7 linked regions of the Macaca fascicularis genome follow. The protein of the gene in region 4 purifies or fractionates together with the protein of the main gene of each other region. This does not show direct contact. Links are inferred from orthologs where the notes say so. Each region holds a gene or a part of one and is shown on either strand. Other genes may lie near its edges.

Region 1 (4,307 bases), on a different chromosome or scaffold from region 4:
CAAAACTAACTTCCGTTACAAACGACTGAGAAGAACCATACTCCCTAGGGACATCTGCTAGACTTCTGGCAAGATAAGAAGGTGCAGATAATCTGTTGCTTTCTCTTCTCATTATTTCATGAGGTGTTCTCTGAATTGGAGTTCTAAGGAAACTCTGGTTTCTTGAAACTACTCCATCTCCAGAAGTTGAAAAGGCATTAGGGCTTGAATCTGGAAGACAGATATCAGTTCGTCTTGGAATTGTTGGACCATGCCGGATGAAAGAAGGCATAAGATCTATAATAAAACAAAGAATAAAATTACCCTTTCATCAGTAAGTAACAAAAGTTTTCGAAAGTTGTTCATTTACATCTACCACCCCAAAATCAAATGTCAACTTAAAACACAATTTTAAATTTTGGTTTAGGATGGTACTTGGGCATTTTAAACTGAAGAAGGTTAATATTTTCCCAATCAAATGAATTTATATAACTTGCATTAATATGCTATGTGTAAAAGCTCAGCTAGAATGAAATGTATTCTGCATACTACCATACATAATATGATAAAATGCCAATAATCTTATCTGTGAACTACACATTAATGACATGGTCATGAATTAATGAATAATAGGAAACAATCTAACAAACTGATAGTTTCTAGTTAATTAAGCTAGTAGTTTATTTTGTTGTTCTCACTTCATTTTAGAAACTGCCAAAAATCCTTCTTGAAGCAAACACAATTTCAAAAATAAAATAGAACTTAATGCTACTCCCAAGTATGTAAAAGTGGATTCCTTTAAAGATTAAAAAATTAGTAGCTCTTTCTTCTCTTGGAATTACCTAGCACTAGCACAGTAATCAAAAGCTAGAAAGCCAAAAATTTACGTATGAAAATTGAAAAAAGCTCTCATTTCAAAGAGGCACACAAATGTTGAATTGGCTCAAAAAAACCAAGCCTGAAACTATGTAATTATAATTCAAAATAGTAGACAATAGAACAATGGCTTTTAGGATACTGTACTTTTAAACACGAAACTTGAAAACAGCTTAAGACATTTCTAGTTAGAAAGCAAATACCTTTAAAACAAGAAAAAACCTGAATATGGAGACCCTCTTATTATTCATTAAGTAAACAATATTGGAGACACTCATATTAATAAGCTTCAGAAACTAACACTGGACAGAAACAAATATCCGAATAAATAAGGCTCAACACTTGATGTAACGACAACAACACAAAGTATATCAAAAGTTATTTGCTTAATTGTGACAAACATGAATAAAACTGCATGTTCTGCATATGTACCCCAGAACTTAAAGTATAATAATAAAAAAAGTGTGACAAACATGATTCACGATTTCAAGTAATGTTTGATAAACTTTATTTGTAGCAAACAGCAAGCTATCACTTAAAAACAGCCAAAAACCTAACAGCATGTGTAACTGAAAATCAAGTTTAAAAAAAAAACTTAAAAATCAAGTTTCCAGTTACTGACATGCTCAACTGACATATATTTTGTTGAAAGTATTGCAAGTACTACTATAAATCTGGAAGGCTGACAATGTGGTTATAATGGAGAACATGCTCTCCCATCTGTGTGATCTTGGGCAAATACTAGAAACCTAGCATTCCCAATTACAGTATGAGGTAATACTTAAGTCACAAGGTTACTACCAGCTTCCAAGAAGGAAACTTACGCAAAGGGCCCGGGGCGCAGTATAAGCACCAAAATACCAGCTCCATGCCTCACAAATGTCCTGAACACACAATAATTAAAAATCCAAGAGATTCAACTCAAAAATCAAATACTTAAATTAAGAAGAAAAGTAGCGGGGGATCGGAGGTGGGGGTTGAGGGTGGGATATACCCTATCAAAAAAAAAACACTTTTCCGGGGGTGGGGCGGGGGACGGTGGAATTTCTCTAACACGATAGAAATAATTTTGAGTTGCCTTTTTGGAATCTCACGAATATAGCCAAATACAAAGGCTTTTGGCTCTCTGCTCTGGGATGTGCTTTGGGTGGCAGCCACAAGAACTATGGTGTGCTTTTCACCTTCTCAAGTCTGCATCCGGCAGCAGGACTAAGGAATTCTGCCCCAGAGTTTGCACAACTTGCAGCACGGTCGAGAGACACCAACAATGTTTGCAAACATGAGGCACATCTCGACGCACCCAGAAGAATAAAAAGTGTCCCTGTCTAATTACTCATTAGGTTATAAACAATTTAAGTGTTTTCTAGTCTCTCTTCCAGTACTCAAAACCAACAACTCTCTGCCAGGCGGGGTGAGGAAGTCTGTTATTTTTAGGGGGGTGCTCTTGGCGCGGTTAGGCGCGGGGGGACTAACCCAAGTTTCTTAGTCTTACGGGCTTTCAATCAACGAATACCACTTCAGGCACAAGAAAATCTCAAAACCAGTATTTCACAGCGACCAGCGACGAAGGAGAAGCCCTGGGGACCCGCCGGCGCCCCCGCCCAGGTCCCCGCAGCCCCCGGCCGCCTGGGCCAGGTGTGGGCGCGCCCCGCCTGACACTCACTCCGAAGCAGAGGCGACGTCTCCTTCTTCACGTACTTCCCCTGCACCTCGGCCGGCTTGGACACTTCGTTTTTGGTTTTCTTTCGGGACAGCATCCTTCTCGACGAGGCCCGAGGCCGCGCTGAGCTGCCTCCCTAGGGCTCCGCGCCGGGCGCCGGCCGTCTCCGCCGCCACCTCCGCCGGCGCCGGCGCCTCCTTCCCTCCTGAGCCGCCGCCTCCGCCGCCGCCTGTCCGGAGCCCGGGGTTGCCTGCAGGGACTGCCGCATGTTCAGGGCGCTAAGCGCGCCGGCCGCCGCTCAGTCGCTGGTCAGTTCCTTCCCGGAAGTCGGCCCGCTCTGCGACGCTGTTCGGGGACGCCGTGAGAAAAGCCCAGCGACGCCAGGCCAGGGCCATGGTTCGCCGCGGGCCGCCGGGCAACCGCTACCACTACCGCCGCCGCCGCCTACATCCCGTAAACTTTCCCCGCGGCCGCTGGGAATTCTGGGAAGCTCGACGCAGCGCGGGCCACCGCCGCCCCTCCCCCACCACAGTCCCGGCGCGGCTCCGGGGCGGGACTCGGGTGCGGGGGCTCTCGGCTAACGGGCGGGTCCCACCGAGCCGCGGCTGTCCTCACTCATCCTCAGCGAGAAGCAGGTCCTGCCGACTGAGAAGATGAAGGACGAACCCTGCCTCGCTGAGACCGGGAGCTCGTCGCATGCGCAAGTCGTGAAGCCACTCTCCACGACAGTTTTTTTTTGTTGTTGTTTTTGTGTCCTCCCAAGATTTCTAATGGAGGCAGTGACTCCCTTCTCCCAAGACGGGTGTTCTTCTTAGTGTTTCCAAGGCTGGTGAATTCAGTTCCGTAAAAAATGTGGAATGCTAACCATGACCCCCAGGGTAGTGCTATATCATACCATCTATTCTGCTGGAAGCGTTCATGCTGGTTAACTAGAAATAAGTTGATCCTCTACTGAGTATCAGGGAGTGCGTTTTTCTAATAACAGGAAAAAACGGAAGAATGCAAGATGGAATTTCCAGTACCTCTTTTTGAGATACATTTGGTGTTAGCATATTGCAATTATTTTATTGCATCATTATCATTAGTATGATTAATAGCCACGTATTTCCTCCTGACGTTATGTGTTACGATCTTAGAATTTTGAGGACTTTGACCACTGCAAGTCGGGACCGGGAATTTTCTATCTAAAATAATAGACTCTACTTCCTTCTATATAACTTAGCAAAACTGCCATATGTACAGGATAACATTTGGAAAATAAGATTGGATTCATCCCCTAGTGACCAAATTCAGGCTTTAATAATGAAGAATGCTTTCCCTGAGATCTAAAACATCTCACAAGAGATCTAAGACATGTCACAACAAAAGACATGGAATTTTTTTTACCACATAACATTAAAAAGATGGTCAAATTTTGTTTTACCATGAGCAAACAAATGAGACATTTAATCTAGGGTCTGTCTCCATATGTTCCCTTGATGCAGATCTCCCCCAATTCATTCATTTAGCAATAAATACTCATCACCCACTGTGCTAGGCACTGTGCTAGGTGTTTGTGATATAGCCATAAGCAAAACAGACAAAAATTCCTATGTCATGGGAAAGAAAAAAATGACGAAAAATAAGCAAAACATACTATGTTAGATAGTGGTAAGTGATGAAGTGAAAATAAGAGAGTACTCGCAATTTTAGAGAGGGTGATAGAGGGACCAGAGAAGGCTCAGGAGAAGGTGACATTGGAGTTAAGTGACAGAATGAGGAAACTGGCCATGCAGCTATCTGGAGGAACAGT
Region 2 (3,815 bases), on a different chromosome or scaffold from region 4:
TGTAGTCCTAGCTTGGGAGGCTGAGGCACTAGAATCACTTGAACCTGGGAGGCAGAGGTTGCAGTGAGCCAAGATCATGCCACTATGTCAGAGCGAGACTCGGTCTCAAATAAATAAATAAATAAATAAATAAAAAGACTCAGGACCCCACACTCCTAGCTCAGGCTGGAAGGCCTGGCTGTGCCTGCAGAATTAGGAAGGGGCCAGGTTACAGAAGCCTGGGTTGACAGGCTTTTGAGCCCAGACTTGATTCCATAGGCAGAGAGAAGCCACTGTAAACAGCTGCTCTGGGGAGGAATGGGATGAAAGTGATTCATCTGGTGACAGGCTTCTTCCCCCAACCTTCTCTCAGTATCCATTTAGTCCCTGATTCCACTCCTCAGCCTCACAGTGAGAGTTCTCAGCTGAAGGCACTTTACTTACCTTCTCCAAAATCAAGTGACCACAGACACAGCATTTCTCAGCTGCCTCCTGAAACCCTGAAAACTAAAGTAAAAGACAAGACAAAGGGAGGCTGTTATCAAACTGAGAATGATGGGTGGTACTCCAATGGGCCACCAAGAAGGGGGTCAGTATGGAAACCAATTCCAGGTCCAGGTGACCCTTACTCACCAGATAATCTTCCTCACAGTACACAGAGCCGTTGACACTGTAGAAAGCCTTGCAACGCAAAGTTCGCCCTAGAAACAGCAGAAAAGGGGCTGGAACCTATCCCACAGCCCAGGTGCAAGACTTCTGGGGTCACTGCTCCCCAGTGCTGCATAATATATTTAAACCTGGACTTTGTACTTTTCCTCCTAACTGCTGTCTGTCCTTCTTCCCCACACAAAAATTCCATCTGATGCAATTCCAATTTGCTTTGGCTTCATTCCAGCCAACTTCCCCTCTCTTCTGCTTGCTGCTCCTCCAGCTCCTGCCTCCTTAACAGTTTTCTAGGGCCCTCCCCTAAACAAACTGCCTTCCTCTCCAGTGCATAGGAAGCCACCTGGGAGAGTAAAGCCAACTACATGCTGGAATACATGAGCTCTTAATAAGGTACTATATGATTTGCATAGAGAGAATCACATTGTTACAGGCCTTGCCCTCTGGGACCCTTCAACCTAGAAGCCTCTTCACCTGAGCATGTCTATCCTGCTCTCAAAGGCCTATCTGTCTCCTTCCAGGGACAGACTCTATGGAGGTCAGGACTGGAGTTACTGCAGGACAAAGTGCTTTGTTTGGAAGCAAAGCAGGTCCCCTTTCCTGTTTGTTTAAGGCTGCTTCCCTAAGCTTAGAGGGACCCAGAGTCTCTAGGGTAAGAGACAACCCAGGATCTTCTTCTAGCAGACAAGGCAGGACCATTCCCCATGTGACCAACCCCCAGGAACTGCTCCCAGGTGTCTACATTATCAGGGATAGGGGAGGAGTGAGAACAGGTGGAGCATGAGCAATTTTCCCACCTTTGCCTTCTTCCCCTCAAAATCCCCACTTCCAATTCTGTCCAGTGGGTTAGGAAAGCTGACTTAGAAGCTCATGAGACACAGGGGAGGAAAGAGAGGGAAAGAGATATAGCCAGAAGAGGCCCTGTAAACAGAAGGATAGACAGACAGATGAGCCTAAAGAGAACCAGGCAGAAACTGGGGGAGTGAGAAAAGCTGAGTGCTGAAGTCAGACAGGCAGAGATAGGAGATTAAAGGTTTAGCAAAGGAATCAGAATGGGTTAGCAGGGAGGAGGGGGTAATGAGGGAGGGGAGGGGGGCAGTTAAGGCCGCTGGGAGCATCCCCCCTTTCCAAGTGGGCCTCCTGAGCTAACAGTGGCAGGCATTCCTGGAGCGTGATGTCATCAGCTTGGCATGGCCCGGTGGCCTGCACTCTAGTGAGGTGGCTGAACTCTGACCAGCCAAGAGAAAACCCCCCTCTCCGCCCCCAGCAGCTCCCCACTCCCCCAGCCTGCCCCCACCCTCCCCACATTCCAATCTTTCACTGTCGCCCCAGGCAACTTGGCTGCCCAAGACCAAGCCCCACCGAGAAGCTGGAGGGCCAGGCGAGTCCAGGATGGGCAAGCAAGGAGGCATGAGAAGGAGAAACAGAGGTAAGGAAGGAAGGAGGGACTCCAGAAAGGAGACCCACCAGGGGAAGGGAGAGCTAAGTAGAGGGCAGACAAGGAAGCAAGAGAGGCGGAGCAGCTGCGGACCTCCAGACACTTGGTGGGGATCCAACAGCTGCTCTGTGAGCAAATGAAGAGGCAAAAGCTCTCCTCCTGTTCCCTATAGCACTTGTGTGTATGTGGGCAGGGGAGGGGAGTGCTTGAGTGTTGGGGCTACACTCACCACAAGAGCAGCAGACAAAGCACTGGGTGTGGTAGAGGCTGTCCAGGGCCTGGCAAGCATTGCTCTGCCCATAGATGCCTTTGTTGCACTTGATACAGGTGCCTGAGAAGAGAAAAGAGTGTCACACTCTACTCCCCCAGGTCAAAACCAGGGATTCCCAAGCTTTCCTGACTGCCCTTTCCTGATGTGCCAGGGGTCACAGTCTCCCTTTGATGGGCTCCCTTCTGAGAAGAGAAGATAAGAAGTAATGACATGTAGCAAGATCTTGGTTGAGCAGATCCATTCTTGTTTAATTACTCAACAGATATTTTCTGAGCATCTATTTTGTGCTTAACACAGCACCACTACCTGAGGAAACCTGGAGAAGGTCAGAGATATGGTCCCTGGCATTCAGATGCTTAGTTTCTGTTGGGGAGAAAAGATTATACAGGCAAGGTATGATCTCTGTTGCAGTGTGTAGGATGAATGGCCAAAGATGCCGGTCCACAGGTGCTCAGCAGCAGACTTGAAAAAACTTTCTAGAGAAAGCAGGCTAGGCCCAGAAAGCCTCTCTGGGACTTCAGTTTCCCATCAGTCAAACGAGCTGTTCAGTTATAGAATGATTTCTCTCTGCTGCAGACTTCCAAGGATGGAGAAAAGGATCTGGCTCAGCAGAGGGCTCTGTGCAGAGGGGACCATGTGAGCATGACTCCTGTGGGGAGGTGACTGCTGAGAATGTAGGGTGTGTTCCAGGAACCAGGGTTGAACAGGAAAGCAGGGAGAGTAGCAGAGCCCCTGATGCCTCCTAGTCACCTTCTATCTTGGGAAGAACACAGAACTGAACTGCTTGCTATTCTCCAAAGTCCCCCGCTAAGATACATACACCTGGCTCTGGGACTCGCCTTTCCTGGGTGTGTTCTTCCCTCCCTCCACTCCCCAATTCCAGGCCCATGAGTGAGGGCTAGGGCCTGTCTTTGGGGAGCAGATCCCAACGGGCCCGCCCCACCTCTCCCCCTCGGCAGGCTGCCACACTCCCTGCCTGTTGGGGCCCATCCCAGTCTTTGCCCAGGGGCTTGGGAGCCTGTGCAGCAGCTGCAGCAACTGATGGGCCCAGACCTGTCCTGCTCCCACCCTCTGGCAGCTGGGCAAAGCTGAAGCCAAGGAAGAGGGCCCCTACTAGGGGCAGGAGGAGGGTACAGTCAAGCTGGGGCTGGAGGCACAAGGGGTATGTAGGGGTTGTCAAAGGAGGCAATCTCACTCCCAGGGAGACGGGGCCCCCATCTCTGAATTCAAAATGTGGCTTCCTCATGGAAGTGAAGATCTGCCCCAATATTGCCATGCCAGGGGGTCCCGTCAGAGCCGTTCTTTAGGAAACCTTGGACATTATGGGAAGAGCAAATGAAACTGCTCAGGCATGTTGGCTTTACCTCATCTAACCCAGCATATCTACACCTATGTTCTTCCTGCTCTTTTATTGCAGTTTCTCTGAGTTCCTTTCTTCCTTTTGGCTCTGATGGTTCAGCCAAA
Region 3 (3,246 bases), on a different chromosome or scaffold from region 4:
AAAGTACAAGATTATGTTAGGAAACTTTTACAGTGTCAACATCCTGATTTCTCAAAATCTTCAGTAAAGGGCCAAAGGTCAAATCTTTCTGTGCACAAAAACTCAGTGTGACTGAAATCCTGAATCAGTGTCATGCCTAGGCATGCTATGCACAGAATGAATTTTAATATGCAGTCCTCTGTGAAAAAAAAAGGACAAAAAAAGTAACCAAAAAAAAAAAAAAAAAAAAAAAAAAAAACACCACAGGACAAAAAGTTCTTCTTAAATCAAATTCTATTTGTGAATTCAGCAAAATAATTTCTATAAAATAAAACAGCAAAATATTTAAATAGAATAGGGTGGGCTGTATCTGTTTGCAGGGTATTTGGTTTTTAGACAGGTTCCAAAAAATTACACACATTCAAGTTACCAATTCTCTTTTAAATACAGTATGAACTGAGGAGTTCCTTATTTGTAATCAAATGTTTATTCTGAAATTGTGATATCTCAATTATATTAACTAACCAGTAGTTTCTTTTTTAATGAGACCCTGCTTTGAACGTTAAACTTTTTGGAATAAGGGAAGAGGAGCTAGGACAATTCTTGCTTTCAAGTAAAATTGTGACTGAGCAGAAAATCAGCCAGCTATCTTGGTGCAGAGAGGTACTCCAAGTATCGTGGGGTTCTGATGACTTCCACGTCACTGGGATCCAGCAGAAGGAAAGTTTGAGAAGATTCACCTAATAAACTCTACCAAAGAAACAAAACAAGCACACCAAATACAGTCTTCTATTATGCTCCAGCATCTTGGCATAGCAAATTTTTGCATATTTGTTTTATATTTTTTAAAATTCCCATTACTGATACGTAAGTGTTCTTTATCCCACCCAGAGATTGAACTGTCAAACATTATACATAAGGAACATATGTGCAACTGAAAACAGCCTGTTTGTCACATTTCTCGCCTTGTTTTATATTTTAATATTCTAGGTGTAAGAAGTAAAAGCTCTGAGTAATACAGCTGTCACTTCTCGGACAACTGCTGTCATTATGGTAACTTTTTCCTCACTGGCTACACTAACTTGGTGTGAAGCCATGCTAAATGTTACAGCATAACTATAGCTTCAAAGTGATTAACCTAATATCAGAATAAAAAGGCAATGAAAAAAATCTAGAAACAGTGTTACATCACCAATTTTCCACATCAACCAAATAATTTAAAGGTTACCAGCCTTACACATTGCTCATAGCAAAATTGACTCCAGTGGCAAAGAATTAACATGAAACTATTGGTGTGGCTGACATGAATGGGCTCTGTTTTGTTGCTGTTGGGTTTTTTTGTAAAGGAGCTGAACCAACTGCCATGAGGCAGGCAACACTGGTTGCAGAGTGCAGTGGGTATAACAAGAAAATTAACTTTTGTAGTTTGTGTAGATCTGTGAGTCTCATCAAGAAAAAAGTTTCTTGCTTAAGAATTAACAGTCAACATTAATATACTATATACACCTTTGCCATTTACACATTAGCATCAGGCCATTTATTACAAAACACTATACACTTTCCACTGCAGGCGGGTTATATATTGACAGCAAATTTCTGCAGATAAGACAGTGAATAAACTCTCCACTCCATGTTGATTAGGAATAGTTTTTCTAGTTTTAAATATTAGCCAGACACAGAAAAAGGTTGGACTGTAAGGCCTGGGTGCACAGTCTTGATGGAACCAGTTAATTATGTGCATTTCATTGATCCTTGGCTTGAGGTGGGGATACTTCTTCACTGCCTTCATAATTTTCTTGTGCTCGTTGGCCAGTTCTCTGAGGGTTGTTCATGTGATGTGCTGCTGGGCCTGTATATGGCTGTCCATGCACATGGTTATTCTGGGAAAGGAGAAGAGATCTGCATGTTAAAACTTTTCACATAGTAAAACAACTTCAAAATCATGGTCTGAAGTCTCTGGAAATGTGAACTTTTATTCTTGGGACTTACTCTGTAAATACCGTTGGACTACTATTGTGCAAGAACAAAAACAAAAACAAAAAAAGGCTTGAAAGAGAAAAACATAATGTAAATGCAAACCCCCAAACCCTGAATAAGAGCAGTGATTGTGTAGGTCCACATACATCTTTGGCCAAAGTGATTTTTAGTGCCAAAATGATTTAGACTCAAGTCTGGCAAATAAAGGATTAACCCACTGTTGCTCTTGGTAAAAAAATGTTCAGAAAACAATCTATGAGCATCTATTGACTCTTCCACATGCTAAATCCAATTGACTAACCATGATACAAGATATACAGGAGTAGTAACCCTGAACTCACAATAATGCTGATTAAAAACAGAACAATGTTCAAGATGATAAAGTAACCAGGCATGATTAACATAAGAGCTTTCTCAGGGTCAAAGGAAGTTAACCTCCCTTGTGGATTTGGTTCCTTAACCTTTTAAAATGTCTGAACCCTACAGTGCTCTCATTTTTCTGTATATGCTCCATCAGCCACGCCAAGATTCTAGACTTTTTTTTTGAGATGGAGTTCACTCTTGTTGCCCAGGCTGGAGTGCAATGGTGCTATCTCGACTCACCACAACCTCCACCTCCTGGCTTCAAGAGATTCTCTTGCCTCACCCTCCCGAGTAGCTGGGATTACAGGCATGCGCCACCACACCCAGTTAATTTTGTATTTTTAGTAGAGACAGGGTTTCTCCATGTTGGTCAGGCTAGTCTCAAACTCCTGACCTCAGGTGATCCGCCTGCCTCAGCCTCCCAAAGTGCTGGGATTACAGGCATGAGCTACTGCGCCCATTTCTACAGATGAAAATACGTATGCTGAATGTGTACTTCCTAACTATTCAGTTTGCTTCTGTGTACACAGTGAAACGTAAGAAAGAATGCCTGAAATGTTTCTCCAAGTATAGTTCCTGGACCACCAGCAGCATCACTTGGGAACTTGTTAGAAATGTTCATTTTCCAGCCCCTTGAAGACCTATGAAATCAGACACTTTGGGATAGCGTCTAGCCCTCTGCTGGAGCAAGCCCTCCAGGCAGACTCATGCCTGTTCAAGTTTGAGTACCATTGCCTCACAAGAGCTGATTTAGTCACATTTCGGTTTCAGAAAGAAAAAGTTTTCATTTAGAATGTTTCTTCATCTCATTTCTTTTGCTATTTATTTACTAGTTTATTTACTTTATAGCTAATCACCTATGGAAATCTACCCAAATCCTTTTTTTTTTCCAGTGATTTTTACCATCATTGGAAACCAAGGACTTCT
Region 4 (4,466 bases):
CAAGGAATCTTATTGTAAAAGCATTCCCCTCCCACCAAAAGAAAGCGCCTCCCACCAACCCTGTGATTTGCTAAGGAACATGTACGGCTCCAATTTACAGTATGTAAACTATTTCAAACTCGATGAAGAAGCCAGAAGAATCCCTTCCAGTTCTATAATTCATTGATTCTAGTAATTCACCTTGGTAATTTTGCAAGACAGGATAGCCTCTGCTCAGATACCTTAAACTGCCTGCCTGGGATTTGGAAAGTTATTAAATGCTCACCAACTTATTTTCAAAGGAATGCCGGTATATTCATTATTCTATTATTATTATTACATTCAGTGCCTTCTATACCTGCATGAGACAAAATTTTGTAAGACACTGAATAACACATCTTGCTAATTACAATTAAATAGACGTCATAAACAGTTTATACATTCTCATTTTGGAATTTTTTTTCTGTTACTACCTTATTACAACGGTTATTTCAGAAAAAAAAAACTTAAAACATACAAAGCAGCTTACCAAAAATATACAAGATTTAGTACAAATTTCCCAATAATCAGCCATGAGTTACTTTTTCCATGATTAAGGGAAGGCCCCTCATCTTCTAAGTTAAAATTTTAAGCAGAACAGTTGTGTAAGATCACACACATTTTGTGATTTCGCATTCAAATTTCAGTATATTTGTTATTAAAATATGGGCAAACTTTCCTCTAAAAGTGTACATATTTGTGGAATACTTTGTGAAAAGAGCTGTTCAGCTATTAATCTGAATTATTTACCGGCCAAACGTATACTCTTATGGCTTAGTAGTTAAGGTGAAATAATTTTTTTAATGCTATTACATTAAAAACACTCTTGGCCGGGCGCGGTGGCTCTCGCCTATAATCCCAGCATTTTGAGAGGTCGGCGGATCACGAGGTCAGGAGATCGAGACCATCCTGGCTCACACGGTGAAACCCCGACTCTACTAAAAATACAAAAAACTAGCCGGGCGAGGTGGCGGCGCCTGTGGTCCCAGCTCCTCGGGAGGCTGAGGCAGGAGAATGGCGGGAACCCGGGAGGCGGAGCTTGCAGTGAGCTGAGATCGCACCACTATACTCCAGCCTGGGCGACAGAGCGAGACTCCGTCTCAAAAACAAAAACAAAAAACAACAACAACAAAACACTCATATCCATCCTAGAGAAGCGTGAAAATGTGAAAGTTCTTGTTCAAAATTCTTGTCAGGTGGGGCGCGGGTGGCTCACGCCTGTAATCCCAACACTCTGGGAGAACGAGGCAGGTGGATCACCTGAGGTCAGGAGTTCGAGGGCCAGCCTGGCCAACACGGCGAAACACGTCTCTACTAAAAGTACAAAATTATCTGGGCTGGCGGCGGCGCCTGTAGTCCCAGCTACTTGGGAGGCTGAGGCAGGAGAATCGCTTGAACCTGGGAGACGAAGGTTGCAGTGAGCTGAGATCGCGCCACTGCCCTCCAGCCTGGGAGGCAGAGCGAGATCCTGTCTCAAAACAACAACAACAAAATTTTTGTCAACAAAATCTGAAAGTTAAGTTCTTTCATAGTTATCCTCGCAAAATAGCATTTCTCATCCAAAGGCCTCAGAACAGCCGCCAGCCGCCGAGCTCACTGGGGACCCTGCTACCGGCTGCTTGGCGCCCCGGTCGGGTGGGTTTTACCTTCTTCAGGGTCCATTCCTCGCCTCGCCCCCCGCTCCCACCCCTGGGGACACTGGAAACTCGGACTTTACAAACGGGTTTGCTCCAGGCCGCACTCCATGCCCGAGGGAAAGCTCCCCAGAACTTCTGGAGTTGGGCAGCGATGGCAAGATGTGAACGATGTCAGAATCCCCATCTCCGGAGTCCGGCTGCGAGCTAAGCGCAGGTGAGCTTGCATCAGAGGAGAAAGCCAAGCCCCCGACACGTCGCTAAACTAGGGCACGGGAATGGCGTGTTATGCAACGGCCGCCGCTCGCGTGGCCACGAAAGCGCTCCCGCGGCTCGGGCCGCGTCCCGCCAAGACCGTGAGCAAACTCGCAGAGTCGGCGCGGCAGCCGGCCGGGAGACGCCGAGCAGGGCCTGGCCGCCCGCGGCCGGGACGAACGGCGCCCCCAAGGTCCGGAGGTCTCCGAGGGGCTGACTGGCCCGCGGGCTGGCGGCGCGGCCGCGAGGAACGGGGTTGGGAACGTGTGGCCGGGGCTGAGGCGGCGCAGCCACGGGGGCTGAGGGGCGGCGCGGCCTCGGCTGCCGCACGGCCGTGGGTCTGTCGGCTCGCGGGACGACGGGGCGGCCGGCGGGGGCGAACGGGGCGGGCTCCGAACGACTGATTGGCCCGTGGGACGATGGCGCGGCCGAGAGGACGGCCCCGGCTCCGTGGGACCGCTGCGCGGCCGGACGCGGGGGTCCCGAGGCTGTCAAGGGCGCCCGGCCCGGCGTCTAGTGGAAAGCCGAGCCCCCGGGGACAGCGGAAGCAGAGGCGCGCCCGGCGCTACGGCCTTTCGGATCTGGGACACCGCCCCCGGCCCGCACCGCCCCTGCCCCGCCGTGATCCCGGCCGCCCCCGCCGCCGCACAACAAAGCGGCGCAGCCCCGCTGCCCCCGCCCGACGCCGGCCTCCAACTTCCCCGGCTCCTCCGGAACCGGCTCCGCGGGCTCCGCACGGCCTGGACGACGCGCCGCCGGGCGGGGGCGGCTCCGGGCGGGCGCGGACCGTGGGGGCAGGGCGCAGGGCTCCGTCCGGACAAACTTCCTCGGCCGCCCCGCCGGGCGCCCTTCCCGGAGCCTCGGCCCCGTGGTGGGTGCGCGGAGCCGCAGGGCTCGACCGCCTCGCGGAAACTCTCGCCACCCTCCCGGCGGCCGCCCCGACCCCAGCCCCCAGCCCCCTCACCTCCAGGGGCGCGGTCTACACCCTCGGGGGCGTCCTGGCCCGCGGCTCCCGGGCCTCGCGCGCCGGGAGACCGGGCACTGGTGGCTGGAGCTGCTGCTGGCCCCGCAGGGACGGGGGAGCCCCGGGCGGCGGCGGTGGCGTGGACGGCGACTGCTCCATCTTCCCGGGGCGCTCACGCCGCGGTTCCAAAGCGCAGACCCAAGTGGGACATTCGCTACATTGTTGGCATTCCACGGGCGTCACGTGACCCCGCCTCCCGCGTCACTCTCGGCCGCATACCAGCCCGGGCGGGGCGCCTGCGGCCCCTGCTCCTCCGCGGCCGCTCCGCCCAGCCCCGCCCGGCCGCGCTTCCTGCCTCCGGCCTCGACCGCCACCTGCCCGCGGCCTCCCTGCTGGCCTGCGGTAGCTCGCCGGGGCCTCTCGGACCTATTTGACTCTCTGCTAGCCGCCCCCAAACTTGAGTATTTGCCCTCTCGACTGCACTTGTATTAAAAGTTGGTAACTGTTGTTAAAGTCACTATTCTTAAGTATCTCATACCAGTCTTGGTGGGGGGAAAAAAAAGCAGGCCTGAAGGATCCACCAAGTTACCAACTAGGGGCGGGACAGTAAAAATAGGGGCAGGAAAGGACAGACGGCTATTGGGACAGTGGAATCAAACAATTAAGAACGTCTGCCAGGAGCGGTGGCTCGCGCCTGTAATCCCAGCACTTGGAGAGGTTTAGGCGGGCGGATCACCTGAGGTCGGGAGTTCGAGACCAGCCTGACCAACATGGAGAAACCCCGTCTCTACTAAAAATACAAAATTAGCCAGGCGTGGTGGCGCATGCCTATAATCCCAGCTCTTCGGGAGACTGAGGCAGGAGAGTCGCTGGAACCCAGGAGGCAGAGGTTGCAGTGAGCTGAGATCGCATCACTGCACTCCAGCCTGGGCAACGAGCGAAACTCCGTCTCAAAAAACAAAAAAGAACGTCTGATGCACACCCAAATTTAATCTGATTTAATGTAATCAACCTCCCCTCCCCGTGTATATTTTGTTTCTGATAAGTGTTTTCTGGTGTAGGAAATAGTGTAGTACTATATATACTAGCAAGTGAGGTCGTGAGTTTTGAACAGCTCCAGTATCCATTTGAGGACTTTGGATCTGGTACAGGGACAGAAGCAGGGATTGTGCAAAGATTCAGAGTAGAAATAATAGACTGGAAGCCAAATACTCAATCTACTTCTGGCTCTCCTAACATCGTACTTCTTACCACCTACATCTGTGGCAAGTGATGCTGAGGGTCAATATAGTTTTTAAAGTCAACTCAATTTCCTCTTTAATTGACAAACTCTTGTGAAATTTTTAAATTTTACTCTCATGGGAAACAGTAATAAAGGTCATTATCTGTGCACTATTTTGACAGTCTCACCCAGCCTTCAGTCCCTGGTCCATCCTCCTCCCCTCCTTCCTCTCTTTCAGTCTCTTAAGGCCTCTGCTCTTCCAGGGAATCTTCTCAGATCTCTGTTTTCTCTCTTCTTTGGGCTCTGATAATCAAACTGTAATCCCTTCCTGCCAGCAGAATTGTGCAAAAAAAAAGAAAAAGAAAAAAAGAAA
Region 5 (3,815 bases), on a different chromosome or scaffold from region 4:
CTGGGCCTGCAGGATCCTGGGAAACAGAAGAGACGGTGCTCAGAGACAGCACAGACCCTTATGGTTCCCACCCGGAGCAGCCCAGAGTCGCCCCATTCCTAGGCATATTGGGAAGATGGTTATTATTCATAACTAATATTTATTAAAATTGCTGCAGATAATTATTCAACCCTCAAGTGGTAGGCAGGGACCAGTGGGGAAGGCCTTTTCCAAATGTTTCTGCCTAAGGCTCTCAAGAGTCAGACAGCAGAGCTGGAGGGGATTAATGTCAGGATGCTTGTTTCATACCCGCCTCACAGTGGCTGGGGCCTTGGAGATCAGCCTGAGCAATCCTGGGCCTCCTAAGCAACTAATGCTTAAATATGTCATCTTGAAAAATGCACCTTGACACTTCTAGTCAATGGAAGGTTCTTTTTGGGGCTGGAGGCCATGTCAATCATGACTGAGCATATAACCTTCCAGGGCCCAGGACAACTTGGTGGCTGGGCCCCAGCAGCAACCTTATGTCTATTACATGAGTGGCCAGTTTCAAGACTGCCAAAGCAGCACTCATTTTCTCCTTTCTATTTCAAGTCCTGCTACCCCCAGCCCCCACCCACCCAGAATCATTTTTAGAAGACTCCAGTTAAGGTTAGAACAGTGAGACAGATGTCAGGGTAAGAGTCTGAGCTCTAGAGTCTGACAAATAGGGGTTTAAATCCCTGCTCCAGTTGTTTAACCTTGGGCAAGTGCCTCAGCCCCACAGACAGGGCATTGCTCTGTTGCATCATGAGGGTCTCCAGCCTCGCCAGGGTTTGTGAGGATGATGCTATGTAAGGCCTGGCAGAGTGCGGGGCCGGTGCTGGGTGGGTGGCAGGTGCTCCTGTAGTGGTGGCCCATCCTCCATCTCTTCTAGTAGGAACCTCGGTTTACCCTCAGTTTAGAGAATAAATGTGGCCCAAACTCTGGGTTTCCTTGGGAGTAAGGGCTGCCTCTGGACTACTGTAGTTGCTGAGTTCAGGGGACAATGTTCTATTGGCCTCTGGCACTGGTGTAACATCACCCATAGGGCTCCGTATTGAGGGAAGGAGCAAAGGGCGAGAGGCACGGGGAGTTCAAGAGCCTTTCTGGGACCTTGTGATTCCCAGTGTCACAACTGCCGCAGTTTCACAAAGATTCTTCCAAGTCCCAGAAGCCCCACAAAACCCAAATTCTCCTTCTAGGTGCATCATGTCAGCACTCATGCACACCCAGCCTGCCCCTGCCTCCTGCCCCCATACAGCCTATGGCCCCCCTGCTCTTCTCAGGACCCTAGGCTAGGAGTCTAGCCCCAAGTTCCTAACAAATAATCTTCATCAGATCATCCGAAAGGGGATATTGGGCAGATGTATTTCTCCTACTATCTAAGATGGGGCTTCCAGTAAGAGCTGGGAAGAGGGTCCCCACTGGAGTACTCAAACTCTCCATTCCACTGCTAAAATGGCCATTCTCAAGGTTGCTTCAAGAACTTGCTCCCCCCTGCACTGGGCCAGGCAGACACAACTGGCATTCTTTCGGGATGACTTGGCTCTGAGAAAGAATAGCAACTCCTTTCCCTTCACACTTGCTTTCCTTTCTCCCCGTCCTCTCCCTCCCCCGCTTTTTGTTCTCCTGCAAACAGTCTACTTCCTTGCCACGATTACTATCTTTTCCTGACAGAGTTCAATAAGGCTGGTCCAAAAGAAGAAACCACCACTCAGCTTCCGAAACTCTTCCTGACCGAGCCCTGAGAAGGGCGATAAGGTGCGAGTCTGGAGGGGGTGGAGGCTGGAGAAAAACCAAGAGGCTCCATCCTCTGTTCCGCCATACCAACCCCATCATGTCACACATTTCTCGAGAGCAAGGAAAGGCCGGACGGTGGGAAAGTGGGTGACTAAAGGAAAACTCAGCAGGCATGAAGAGAACCAGACTTTGACCTTGGGCCACCAGAGGAAGAGTCTGAAATCCTTGGGGTCCCTTGGTGGGGTTTCTTGGACTCCCACAGGGGGAGATGCAGCAGTGATGGCTGTGTCTGCTTCTCTGAAAAGATGCGGGCCAGATGAGAAGCCTGAGGTGGGGCCTTGTTTCTAGGAACACTCATTTCTCCAAACTCTCTAGACTTCTTGCCTCCCCCAAGTCTTCCTGCTTCCATTTTGGCCCCTCACAAACCATGCTCTGCATGGTAGCCAGAAAGAGCACTTAGAAAAGGAAAACCAAATCACATCCCCCGAGGGCCTCCCAGCATACTCAGAATCAAACTCTAAGTCCCTGCCCTGACCCAGCAGCCTCTCCTGAGCCTCCCCAGAAAGAGGCCCACCCGGACCCAGAATCCTGTCCCACTGCAGGCTGCAGATGCAGGAAGCGTACGGCAGGAAATGGGGAGGAGAGACAGGGAAGCTCCTGCGCTGGTGTAAGATGCAGAGACGTCTGTAATGAGGCCACCGGGCCTTTCCAGCTTCTAGTTAGGAATGCCTCCCAATAATCATAGAAGGCAAGTTGCTCACATTTTCTTAAAAAGCCTCCAGAGAAGGAGGTCCCACCTTCTTCCTACTTAACTTGGAAACAGTTTGGCAATGATTCCCAACCTTGCCTTTAGGAAGTTATTTCTGAAATCTAACCTTTAACCGCCTGTTGCGATTTGTGTCCTCTGGGGACGGTAGTTACTAGAATGCTCAAGCTCAGCAGACAATGGTGCCTATCTCTGAACTAAGGCAAGGGACGCCACTAACTTCTTAGGGGACCTCAGTTACATCTCTCTTCTCTGCCAGGCAATAGCTCTCCCTTCTCAGGAAGCCTGGAGGTGGGGTGGGGATCTGGCCAGCTCTGACACAAGCTGTGATCTTGAGGCTCTCCTCCCTGACAGCCTGTGCTGGAGGATAAGCCAGGAACTGGAAAGCCCAAGGTGGGGAGAGTTACCTGACTTCAGCGTGCTGGAAGTGCGGGCTGCCGCGGGCACGGTACCGAGGGTCAGTGACAGCAGTGGTGGTCTCATGAGCTAGTACAACGTGAGGGTACTGAGGTGGGGGTCCTCGGGACTCTGGGCCCTCAGCAGGGGGGCCCCTCAGTGGGGGGCCCTGCTGGCTGCGGGCCAGCTGTGGGAAGCTGTGGGAGGAGCTCATGTGGCTGGGGGCCCGGGCGCCGTTCCTCTCCAGGGACAACTGCAGGAGCCGTTCACTCAGGGAGCGCACGTGCCCGTGCCTCAGCTCCCGCAGGGCCTCATCCTGCCTCCGACTGCCTCCGGGGGCCCCACGGGGATCTCGGTCCCCTGCATGTGGCCGGGGCCCCACCTGCTGGGCCGCATAGTACTGCGAGTGGGCTTTGGCCTCCTCATAGGTGGGCAGCTCCTCTCCCTTGCTGGGCTGTGGGCACAGCCGGTAGAGGGTGTTCTCTGCCAGGTGGTTCTCACCGCCCTGGTGCTCCTGGCCCTGGGGCTCCTGCCTGGTGGCTTGCTGCAGCACCTGACTGTCCTCTGGTGCCAGGATCTCCAGGGAGGCCTGGGGGCTCCCTGTGCCCCCAGTTCCTGCCCCACCCCTCAGGGCCTGCTGCTGGATGGCTAGCAGCGTGCGTGTCTCAGTCAGGTTGCCATAGCGCAGCTGCTCCTGGATGAGGCGGTGCAGGACTGTCCCCGAGGAGTCTTCCAGTGTCCTCATGCTTCTCTGGCTTGCACACAGCTGCCTGGACAATGGCCGGTGGCACCTGGCCCCAGAGCACCTAGAGGAGGGTGGGGAGAGAGAGAGACAGAGAGAGAGAAAAGCAATCAGTGGGAGTCCATGGGAAAGGAGAAGGTTTTCCAGGATTTCCATTATTACTCTGGTGGA
Region 6 (3,815 bases), on a different chromosome or scaffold from region 4:
TTAACCAATGTATAGGACTCTCCTGATAGGCGGTCACAGTGGTCCTGGAGCATACGTCCAAGGTGACTATCCTAAATGCCTGTGGGAAACTGCATCTTCATGAGAGACTTGCCCAGACGCCCTCTTGTGTTGCCTCTGCTGTCCCGCCACCAAATGCTTTGCTGGTGTCTTTCCAAGCAGAGAGGAGGTGCTGGAAGGTGAGCGTAGGATGACTTCCAGGTCAGCCCTTGAGTCTTTTTGCCAAATAGCACCTGCCAGGGCACCCTTCCTCCCGGCCTCAGCCTGCCTGCCTCTCACCAAGGGCCACGGCATCTTTTAGGAACTGGAAAGTGTCATTGACAGTTGGCGGTTTTTATGTGTGTATTTCTGCCTAAAGATTTTGCTTTTCACTTTTCGCTTTTTCCACTGCATATTAAAATTTTTCTTTTTTGCCCTGTCTTTGTGTGTTTTTCCTTAGGCCGGAAGCTGAGAGGAAAAGCCTTTTATTTTGTCAACGGCAAAGTGTTTTGTGAAGAAGACTTCCTGGTGAGTGTGTCACCGCAGCCTCTCCTTGCATGTCCTGGCCAGAGTCAGAGGGCAGGGGCGTGGTGGGACCTGGGCCAGCGCACAGGGAAGCTGCACTGCTGGAGAGAGGGGCCCTGCCTTTCCTTCTGTAGATGCATGGGGGTGGCCGTGTTCCCGAGGCCAATGGCAAACCACACAGCCTTGTACTTTGAAGAAACTGTGGGGTCACTTGACCTATCCTCTTGCTGCTTTCTGTAGTTCTGCCTCTTCTACCATCCTGGACTCCTCCTCTTAGACCTCTGGACTGGGACCTGGGCTCTCTTCTTCTCATCCCACTCTCTCTGGGAATCTAGCTTCTCCCATGGACTGAAAGTTCATCCATGTGCCAGTGACTCCCAGACCTGAGCTCTAGCCCTGCTGCACCTCTGAGGCCAGCGGCTGGCATCCCACTGGCCCCTGGACATGTCCCCTGGGCTGTGTCCCAGCCTCTCACATACCAGCCGCTCACCATACTTGTGTGAACCAAGACCCTTGCCTTGGGTCCTGATCTGTGAGAATTGCCTCCTAGGTTTGTCCTCAACCCCACCTCCTTGAATGCAGCCAGGCGTTGAACTCTATGCTGCCATGTCTTCCACAGTTCTGCCTCCGTTCACACCTCCGGCATGGCTCAGCCAGCCTAGCTTAACGGCCTCCACACCCCCGCATCAAGAGGCCTTATAGGGCATAAACCTGGCCTGCTTGGTCCCAGCATGTGTAGGGTACAAAGCACGCTCAGAAGCTCTCCGAGGTCTGGACTCCCCAGCTTCCCACACCTGTGCAACCTCATGCCTTCATGCCTTTGCTTGGGCCATTTCCCCTGCTTGCAATGTCTTGCCCCTTTATTTTCCCAGAGCCCCCCAACAGCCTTCCTGTCCCTCCTGCTCCCACAATGGAGGAGCTCCTCTGTGCTGCCACCACGCCCGGGACCTGCCCTGGCAGGGCTGTGGGGTGTTAGCCCTGAGCATTATGTCTGTTTACGAGTCTCTCCTCCATTGACTGAAAGCTCCCAGGGCGAAAAGAACATGTGTCTTCACCTTCACACCTGCAGATTCTAACACGATGCCATGCAGAGTGGGTGCTTGATAGATAGTGGTTGAAATGACCCTGTCATCTCAGGGATGAGGAATGTGAGATGCAGAGATGGGCTCAGGGCCAGCTTCTCCCTGCCTTCCCTTGGGGAAAAGCTCTATTTGGTTTTCACTGAAAAGTTGATTCATTATGACTCCTGTTGGCCAGAAACAGACAAGCAAACCCAAACGGGCTTAAGTAAAAAGGAAATTATTCCAGCAGTGCCTCAGGAGTCATTTTCTCCACAGTTTTTGGTCCTGTGTCTCAGTGGTAGCTTCAGTCTCAGGTCCTGTGTGATGGCCAGATGTTGGCAGGACCCCAGAGTTTACGTTCTCTCAGTTTCACATCCGATGGGCAAGAGTGCCAGTCCTTCCTTTGGAATCCTCAACAGACATCTCCTGGAGTCTCATTGGCTCTTACTGGGCCACATGCCCACCTCTGGAAAAACTATCAGTACTGGAGGAATGCAAGGCTCTGATGGACCAGGTCTGTCAATGCCCTGCCTGGGCCCTGGCATGGAGCCAGCCCACATGGTGATGGGAGCCACGTGGTGTGGGGCCGGGGGCTGGATCCCAAATGAAAATAAAGAACTATTACCCCCAGAATGGGGCGTAGGTGCCAGACGACAGAAACCTCCACCACATGGTGTAGAGTTGCAGAAAGTTTCCCTTTTTCGTTTTTCCCACCTTCCTTTCATTAGGTTTCCCCCAGTTAAGTTGTGTTTGTTATACCCAAACTTCTAGTCTAGTGTGTAGCATCTAGTATGTTTTTTGAAGAGAGTACCTCATGTCTTTCAGGACTCTGTGTGTGTATGTGTTTAGGTAAGATAAGGTAAGGTAAAGTAGGTAATTATCAAGTTTCTTTGAAGCTAACTATAAAAGGTATTAACCAGAACCGGAGTTGAATTTGATTCCTGTCCTTACCGTTTGTTGGCTGTGTGACCTTGAAAAGGTCACTTAACCTCTCTGAGCTGCCCTCTGCTTCTATTTGAGGATTCTGGGTAATAATGTAGACCTTGCAGAATTGTCGTAAGCATTAGAGTGGTGGTTTGAGAATGCATCAGAATCCCCTGAAAGTCTTGTGAAAACACAGATTGCCAGAACCCACCCCCCGAGTTTCCAAATCAATAGGTCTGGAGTGGAGCCCAAGGATTTGCATTTTTTACAAGCTTTCAAGTGATGCCAGGGAACTGCTCTTTGAGAACTACTGAGATGGGATTAAAGCATCTCTATATACAGTCCCTTACATAGAGCCTGGCATGCTGTGGGTGCCCAGACACAGTCATTGTTAGAGTGAGTGGTACTAGTATTTGTGATGGCTTTTGTGGCAGAGAATATTCTGTGACTCAGCCCACAGCTGTGTTGTACTTGGGGAATGACAGAATTCTGCACAGAGTGACACATCTTTCTGAGAAATTCCTTATAATCCTCTTGGCTGGTAGGGAGGTGGCTGATTCGTCTTCCCAGTCTGGGTTTAACTTTCTTTTCTTTTTCTTCTGCAGTACTCTGGTTTCCAGCAGTCGGCTGACAGGTGTTTTCTTTGTGGACATCTGATCATGGACATGGTGAGTAGGTCAGCCAAAGAAGAGAACAGCATCTCAGGTGGAGGAGGAGGCGTTTAGAGAAAAAAGATATTAATAATTGAGGACAGTGTTTCTTATCTCGATTTGTGGTTACGGCTGGACGCAGTGGCTCACGCCTTAATCCCAGCACTTTGGGAGACTGAGGCGGGCGGATCACGAGGTCAGGAGTTTGAGACCAGCCTGGCCAATATGGTGAAACCTCGTCTCTACTAAAAATACAAAAATTATCCGGGAGTGGTGGTGTGTGCCTGTAGTCCCAGCTACTTGAGAGGCCGAGGCAGAAGAATTGCTTGAACCCGGGAGGCGGAGGTTGCAGTGAGCCGAGATCGCGCCACTGCATTCCAGCCCGGACAACAGAGTGAGAATCCACCTCAAAAAAAAAAAAAAAAGACGTCCCTATAAAGTGCAGCTTGCTTGATCTAATAGAACCCGCATTGCTGGCTTTAATTGGAATTAACGTCTTCAACCATCTAGAGCATATGATGTCATGTTTCCGGTAATGCTTTCTCCTCCCCTGGGCTGTTTGAATCACACTGGCCTCCCTCTGGCTTCTCTGTGATCCTTGTGGCATCCCAGGTGAGATGCTAAATACGGTCGGTTTTTTTTTTTTTTTTTTTTTTTT
Region 7 (4,277 bases), on a different chromosome or scaffold from region 4:
TGGCAAGTGCCTGTAATCCCAGCTACTTGGGAGGCTGAGGCAGGAGAATTGCTTGAACCCGGGAGGTGGAGGTTGCAGTGAGCTGAGATGGTGCCACTGCACTCCAGCCTGGGCAACAGGTGAGACCCTGTCTCAAATAAAAAAAAATTTTAAATTTAAAAAAAGAAGTAAAAAAGAATTATGAAAACACTGAAAATCAAATCTGAAACGTTTTTAACGTGATAAAAAATTATATTGAACAGGGAAGAAAATATTTGCAAATCACAGATGTGATAAGGACTTGTATCTAGAATGTATAAAGAACTCTTACAACTCAAAAACAAAAAGACAACCCAATTTAAAAACAGGCAAAAGATCTAAATAGACTTTACTCCAAGGAATATATACAAATGACCAATAAGTACACGAAAAAATGCTCAACATTATTAGTCATTAGGGAAATGCAAATCAAAATCAGGAGATACCACTCCACATCCACTTAGGATGACTATTAAAAAAGGAAAATTAACAAGTGCTATGAGAGGTGTGGGGAAATTGGACCCCTCATAGAGTGCTTATGGGAATGTAAAATGGTGCAGCACTTTGAAAGTTTGGCAGTTCCTCAAAAGGTTAAACACAGTTACCATGTAAGCCAGTAATTCCACTCCTAAGTATATACCCAAGAGATATGAACACATACATCCACGCAAAAACCTGTCACATATGTTCACAGCAGCATTATTCATAATGGCCAAAAAGCGGCAACAACTCAAGCGCCCATCAAGAAGGTCAAGTTTTAAAAAAAGAAAGTCTCGGCCGGGTGCGGGAGTGGATCATCTGAGGTCAGGAGTTCAAGATCAGCCTGGCCAACATGATGAAACCCAGTCGCCACTAAAAATACAAAAATGAGCCGGGTGTGGTGGCTGGCGCCTGTAATCCCAGCTACTAGGGAGGCTGAGGCAGGAGAGTCGCTTGAACCCGGGAGGCAGAAGTTGCAGTGAGCCGAGACCGTGCCATTGCACTCCAGCCTGGGTGACAGAGCGAAACTCGGTCTCAAAAAAAAAAAGTCTCACATTAAGGTCCACAAAGCAACTGTGCATTCACTAACTAAATATCAACTCGTAAGAAAAAAGTGGAGGGAGGAATACTTCTATTAATATGGAAATTAAATCTAAATCATACAGGCTTTTTGACAAGGTAATCGTATTTTAGAGACCATTCCTTTACGAGAATAACCCAAAGGAGGGAAAATGAGACGCAGATAAACATATTCTTAGTAGTCCTATTTTATAAAAGCAAATACTGGAAGGAATCCCAGTCTCTCACAATAAAGTGGGTGAACTCTGGTTATTAAAAAAAAAAAAAAAAACCGCCCGGGCGCGGTGGCTCAAGCCTGTAATCCCAGCACTTTGGGAGGCCGAGATGGGCGGATCACGAGGTCAGGAGATCGAGACCATGCTGGCTAACGCGGTGAAACCCCGTCTCTACTAAAAAATACAAAAAATTAGCCGGGCGAGGTGGCGGGCGCCTGTGGTCCCAGCTACTCGGGAGGCTGAGGCGGGAGAATGGCGTGAACCCAGGAGGCGGAGCTTGCAGTGAGCTGAGATCCGGCCACTGCACTCCAGCCTGGGCGACAGAGCGAGACTCCGTCTCAAAAATAAAATAAAATAAAAAAAAAACCTATGTAGTGTTTTTATATTGTATTTAATAAAAATGTCAAGCATGTGGATTGCATCCATAACTAAAAATGGATAACTACTCAATCAGGAAACACACATTTAAGCAATATACAAGGTAGAGAGCGCCACCCGAGAATAAAAAATACTTTGCCAGAGCAATGCTTCTCAAACCTTAATGTGCATAAGAATCATGAGGGAATTTACAAGCTTTTTCATTGTAGCCTTGTTTGGGCTCAGGCATTATCTCTAAAATGAGATTCTAAGGTATGTGTATCAAGTTAATTGCTGTAGTGCACTGAAATAGCAATACTGTTTCTGTAATGGGACTATGAATTTGTTTTAATTTTAACTTTCCAAATTATTTATAATAATACTGCAATGTACTATGTAATAATGTTGTATGGTATATTACATAATGATTAAAAACACACGATTCTACCGAGGACAAGAGAAGTTGGTTAAAATCAAAACCAGTAAGTGGGCAGAATCAGAATTGGACAGAACGATCCGACTCCAAGGCCCGCATCTTAACTTCAGGCTTCTCAAACTGCGGCAACGCACATTCTCCCGGAGCGGCATTCAACACCGACAATACTGAAACTGGACCTATAACCGAGCGGCGAGTTAAGTCGGCATGGACGGTTTCTAGAAGCTCGAGACGAGGGAAACTGGGGGCTCGCGGCTCCGCCCCCAGATCGTCTCCTCGCCCTCGGGGGCGCTCGGGCGGAAAAGTTTGCAGGCGCTACGGCCCCGGGGCCTTTCTACTCCCCAACCTTCACGCTCCGTTTCCTTTACCTCACCTTCACCTCTGTCGGCCTCTCCCAACATCTCGGCCTCCCCCGCTGACCCAAACAGAGGCAAAACAAACGCCAGCTACCCCGCCCCCGCCCCGGCCCCCAAGCCCAGCCCTCGCCTCAGGTCCGGGGAGGCCTCCCCCACGATCTCGGCCCGCAGCCCCAGTGCCCGCGGCCCGGCCCCACTCACAAGAGGAAGCTCATCTTCGGTCCTCAGATGGGAGGCGAGGGGCCTCTGGCCCCCGCCCGGATCAGGATTCGGAGCCGGCGAGAGGGAGAGGACCGTCCTTTGGTCACGGGCAGCGGAAGCCGGGCCGCCGCCGCTCGGAGCCGGATTTCTGGCCGCTGCGAGCCCTTGCAAACCTCGGCGCCCGCCTTGCCCGCCTACCCCACCTCGCAGACCCGAAATGCGGAACCAACAAAATCTCGCGAGCTAAGGTTTCGCGGCGCCGGGAGGGACTAGACGCACCCCCTTTCGCTCCGCCTCGTCCTAGAACTTGGCCAATCATTGCTCTCCAAGCCAGGCCCTCCCTCCCCGGGAGGCGTGGCGAGGACGGCGGTCCTGCGGAAAGGGCAGTGGCTAGTCCTGCTCTTAGTCTATCTTGGTGCTGCTGAGTTTCGACCCAGCTCCCTAGGTTGCGCAGGGTCCTCTATAAGCGCTACCTACCCCTGCAAATTTTAAAATTTTTAATTTTTACTTGAGATATATTCACATAGCATAAAATCTATCCTTTAAACATGTACCCTCTAGTGGTCCTTTTCGTTTATGTTTTTTCTTTTTTGAAGTGTCTCACTCTATCGCCCAGACTGGAGTTCACAGTTCACTGCAGCCTGGACTTCCTGGGCTTAAGTGATCCTCTCGCCTCAGCCTCCCGAGTAGCTGAGACCACAGGTGCGTGCCACCACGCCCGGCTAATTTTCTCAAAGTTTTTGCAGAGACGGGGGTCTCACTGTGTTGCCCAAGCTGGTCTTGGACTCCTGGGCTCAAGGGATCCTCCTGGTTTGGCCTCCCAAAATGCTGGGATCACAGGTGTGAGCCACTGCCTCCGGCTTTGTTTATGTTTTCAAAGTGTGCCAACCATCACCACTAATTTTTTTTGTTTGTTTTTCAGACAGAGTCTCACTTTGTAACCCAGGCTGAAGTGCAGTGGTGCAATCTAGGCTCGTTGCAACCTCTGCCTTCCAGATTCAAGTGATTCTCATGCCTCAGCCTCCCGAGTACCTGGGATCACAGTCGTGCGCCACCACACCCGGCTATTTTTTTTTTTTTTTTTCCAGTAAGGACGGGATTTCACCATGTTGACCAGGCTGGTCTCGATCTTGAACTCCTGACCTCAAGTGATCCACTCACCTTGGCCTCTTAAAGTGCTGGGATTACAAACGTGAGCCACGGCGCCCAGCCTAACCATAATTCTAGGTCATTTTCACCACCTGGAAAAGAAACCCCATACCTATTAGCAGTCACTCTTTATCACCCACCTCCCTCCTCCCAACCCCTGGCAACCACTACTCTACTTTCTATTTCCATGGATTTACCTAATCTGGACATTTCATATACACTGTGAACGGAAGTATACATTATGTGGTCTTTTGTGACTGACTTCTCTCACTTAGCATGTTTTAAAACTCACCCATATTGTAGCATGTATCAAAACTTCATTCCTGGCCAGGCACAGTTGTGCCTTACGCCTGTAATCCCAGCACTTTGGGAGTCTGAGGCTGGTGGATCACTTGAGCTCAGGAGTTCGAGACCAGCCTGGGCAACATGGTGAAACCCTGTCTCTACAAAAATAGAAAAATTAGTCAGGCATAATGGGGTGTACCA

The links.
Region 1: the proteins of LATS2 (region 4) and SAV1 purify together in Homo sapiens (affinity purification with western blotting; 4 studies listed by BioGRID, with this or other methods). This does not show direct contact. The link is inferred for Macaca fascicularis from reciprocal best matches to the Homo sapiens genes LATS2 and SAV1.
Region 2: the proteins of LATS2 (region 4) and AJUBA purify together in Homo sapiens (affinity purification with western blotting; 3 studies listed by BioGRID and IntAct, with this or other methods). This does not show direct contact. The link is inferred for Macaca fascicularis from reciprocal best matches to the Homo sapiens genes LATS2 and AJUBA.
Region 3: the proteins of LATS2 (region 4) and USP9X purify together in Homo sapiens (affinity purification with mass spectrometry; 4 studies listed by BioGRID and IntAct, with this or other methods). This does not show direct contact. The link is inferred for Macaca fascicularis from reciprocal best matches to the Homo sapiens genes LATS2 and USP9X.
Region 5: the proteins of LATS2 (region 4) and AMOTL2 purify together in Homo sapiens (affinity purification with western blotting; 3 studies listed by BioGRID). This does not show direct contact. The link is inferred for Macaca fascicularis from reciprocal best matches to the Homo sapiens genes LATS2 and AMOTL2.
Region 6: the proteins of LATS2 (region 4) and LIMD1 purify together in Homo sapiens (affinity purification with mass spectrometry; 3 studies listed by BioGRID and IntAct, with this or other methods). This does not show direct contact. The link is inferred for Macaca fascicularis from reciprocal best matches to the Homo sapiens genes LATS2 and LIMD1.
Region 7: the proteins of LATS2 (region 4) and MOB1A purify together in Homo sapiens (affinity purification with western blotting; 9 studies listed by BioGRID and IntAct, with this or other methods). This does not show direct contact. The link is inferred for Macaca fascicularis from reciprocal best matches to the Homo sapiens genes LATS2 and MOB1A.

The regions. Positions count from the first base shown.
Region 1 is NC_088381.1:118,599,830-118,604,136, forward strand, and holds the start of SAV1 (protein salvador homolog 1), read right to left. Parts: upstream 2,946-4,307; 5' UTR 2,613-2,945; coding exon 2,519-2,612; intron 277-2,518; coding exon 1-276. UniProt on the Homo sapiens protein: Regulator of STK3/MST2 and STK4/MST1 in the Hippo signaling pathway which plays a pivotal role in organ size control and tumor suppression by restricting proliferation and promoting apoptosis.
Region 2 is NC_088381.1:90,726,214-90,730,028, forward strand, and holds part of AJUBA (LIM domain-containing protein ajuba), read right to left. Parts: intron 2,412-3,815; coding exon 2,310-2,411; intron 681-2,309; coding exon 613-680; intron 487-612; coding exon 424-486; intron 1-423.
Region 3 is NC_088395.1:41,218,264-41,221,509, reverse strand, and holds part of USP9X (ubiquitin carboxyl-terminal hydrolase 9X), read right to left. Parts: intron 1,860-3,246; coding exon 1,722-1,859; 3' UTR 1-1,721.
Region 4 is NC_088391.1:852,518-856,983, reverse strand, and holds the start of LATS2 (serine/threonine-protein kinase LATS2), read right to left. Parts: upstream 3,113-4,466; 5' UTR 2,872-3,112; intron 1-2,871. UniProt on the Homo sapiens protein: Negative regulator of YAP1 in the Hippo signaling pathway that plays a pivotal role in organ size control and tumor suppression by restricting proliferation and promoting apoptosis.
Region 5 is NC_088376.1:37,277,484-37,281,298, forward strand, and holds part of AMOTL2 (angiomotin-like protein 2), read right to left. Parts: intron 3,709-3,815; 5' UTR 3,648-3,708; coding exon 2,914-3,647; intron 17-2,913; coding exon 1-16. UniProt on the Homo sapiens protein: Regulates the translocation of phosphorylated SRC to peripheral cell-matrix adhesion sites. Required for proper architecture of actin filaments.
Region 6 is NC_088376.1:108,570,890-108,574,704, forward strand, and holds part of LIMD1 (LIM domain-containing protein 1), read left to right. Parts: intron 1-457; coding exon 458-525; intron 526-3,112; coding exon 3,113-3,175; intron 3,176-3,815. UniProt on the Homo sapiens protein: Adapter or scaffold protein which participates in the assembly of numerous protein complexes and is involved in several cellular processes such as cell fate determination, cytoskeletal organization, repression of gene transcription, cell-cell adhesion, cell differentiation, proliferation and migration.
Region 7 is NC_088387.1:47,773,441-47,777,717, reverse strand, and holds the start of MOB1A (MOB kinase activator 1A), read right to left. Parts: upstream 2,870-4,277; 5' UTR 2,657-2,869; coding exon 2,643-2,656; intron 1-2,642. UniProt on the Homo sapiens protein: Activator of LATS1/2 in the Hippo signaling pathway which plays a pivotal role in organ size control and tumor suppression by restricting proliferation and promoting apoptosis.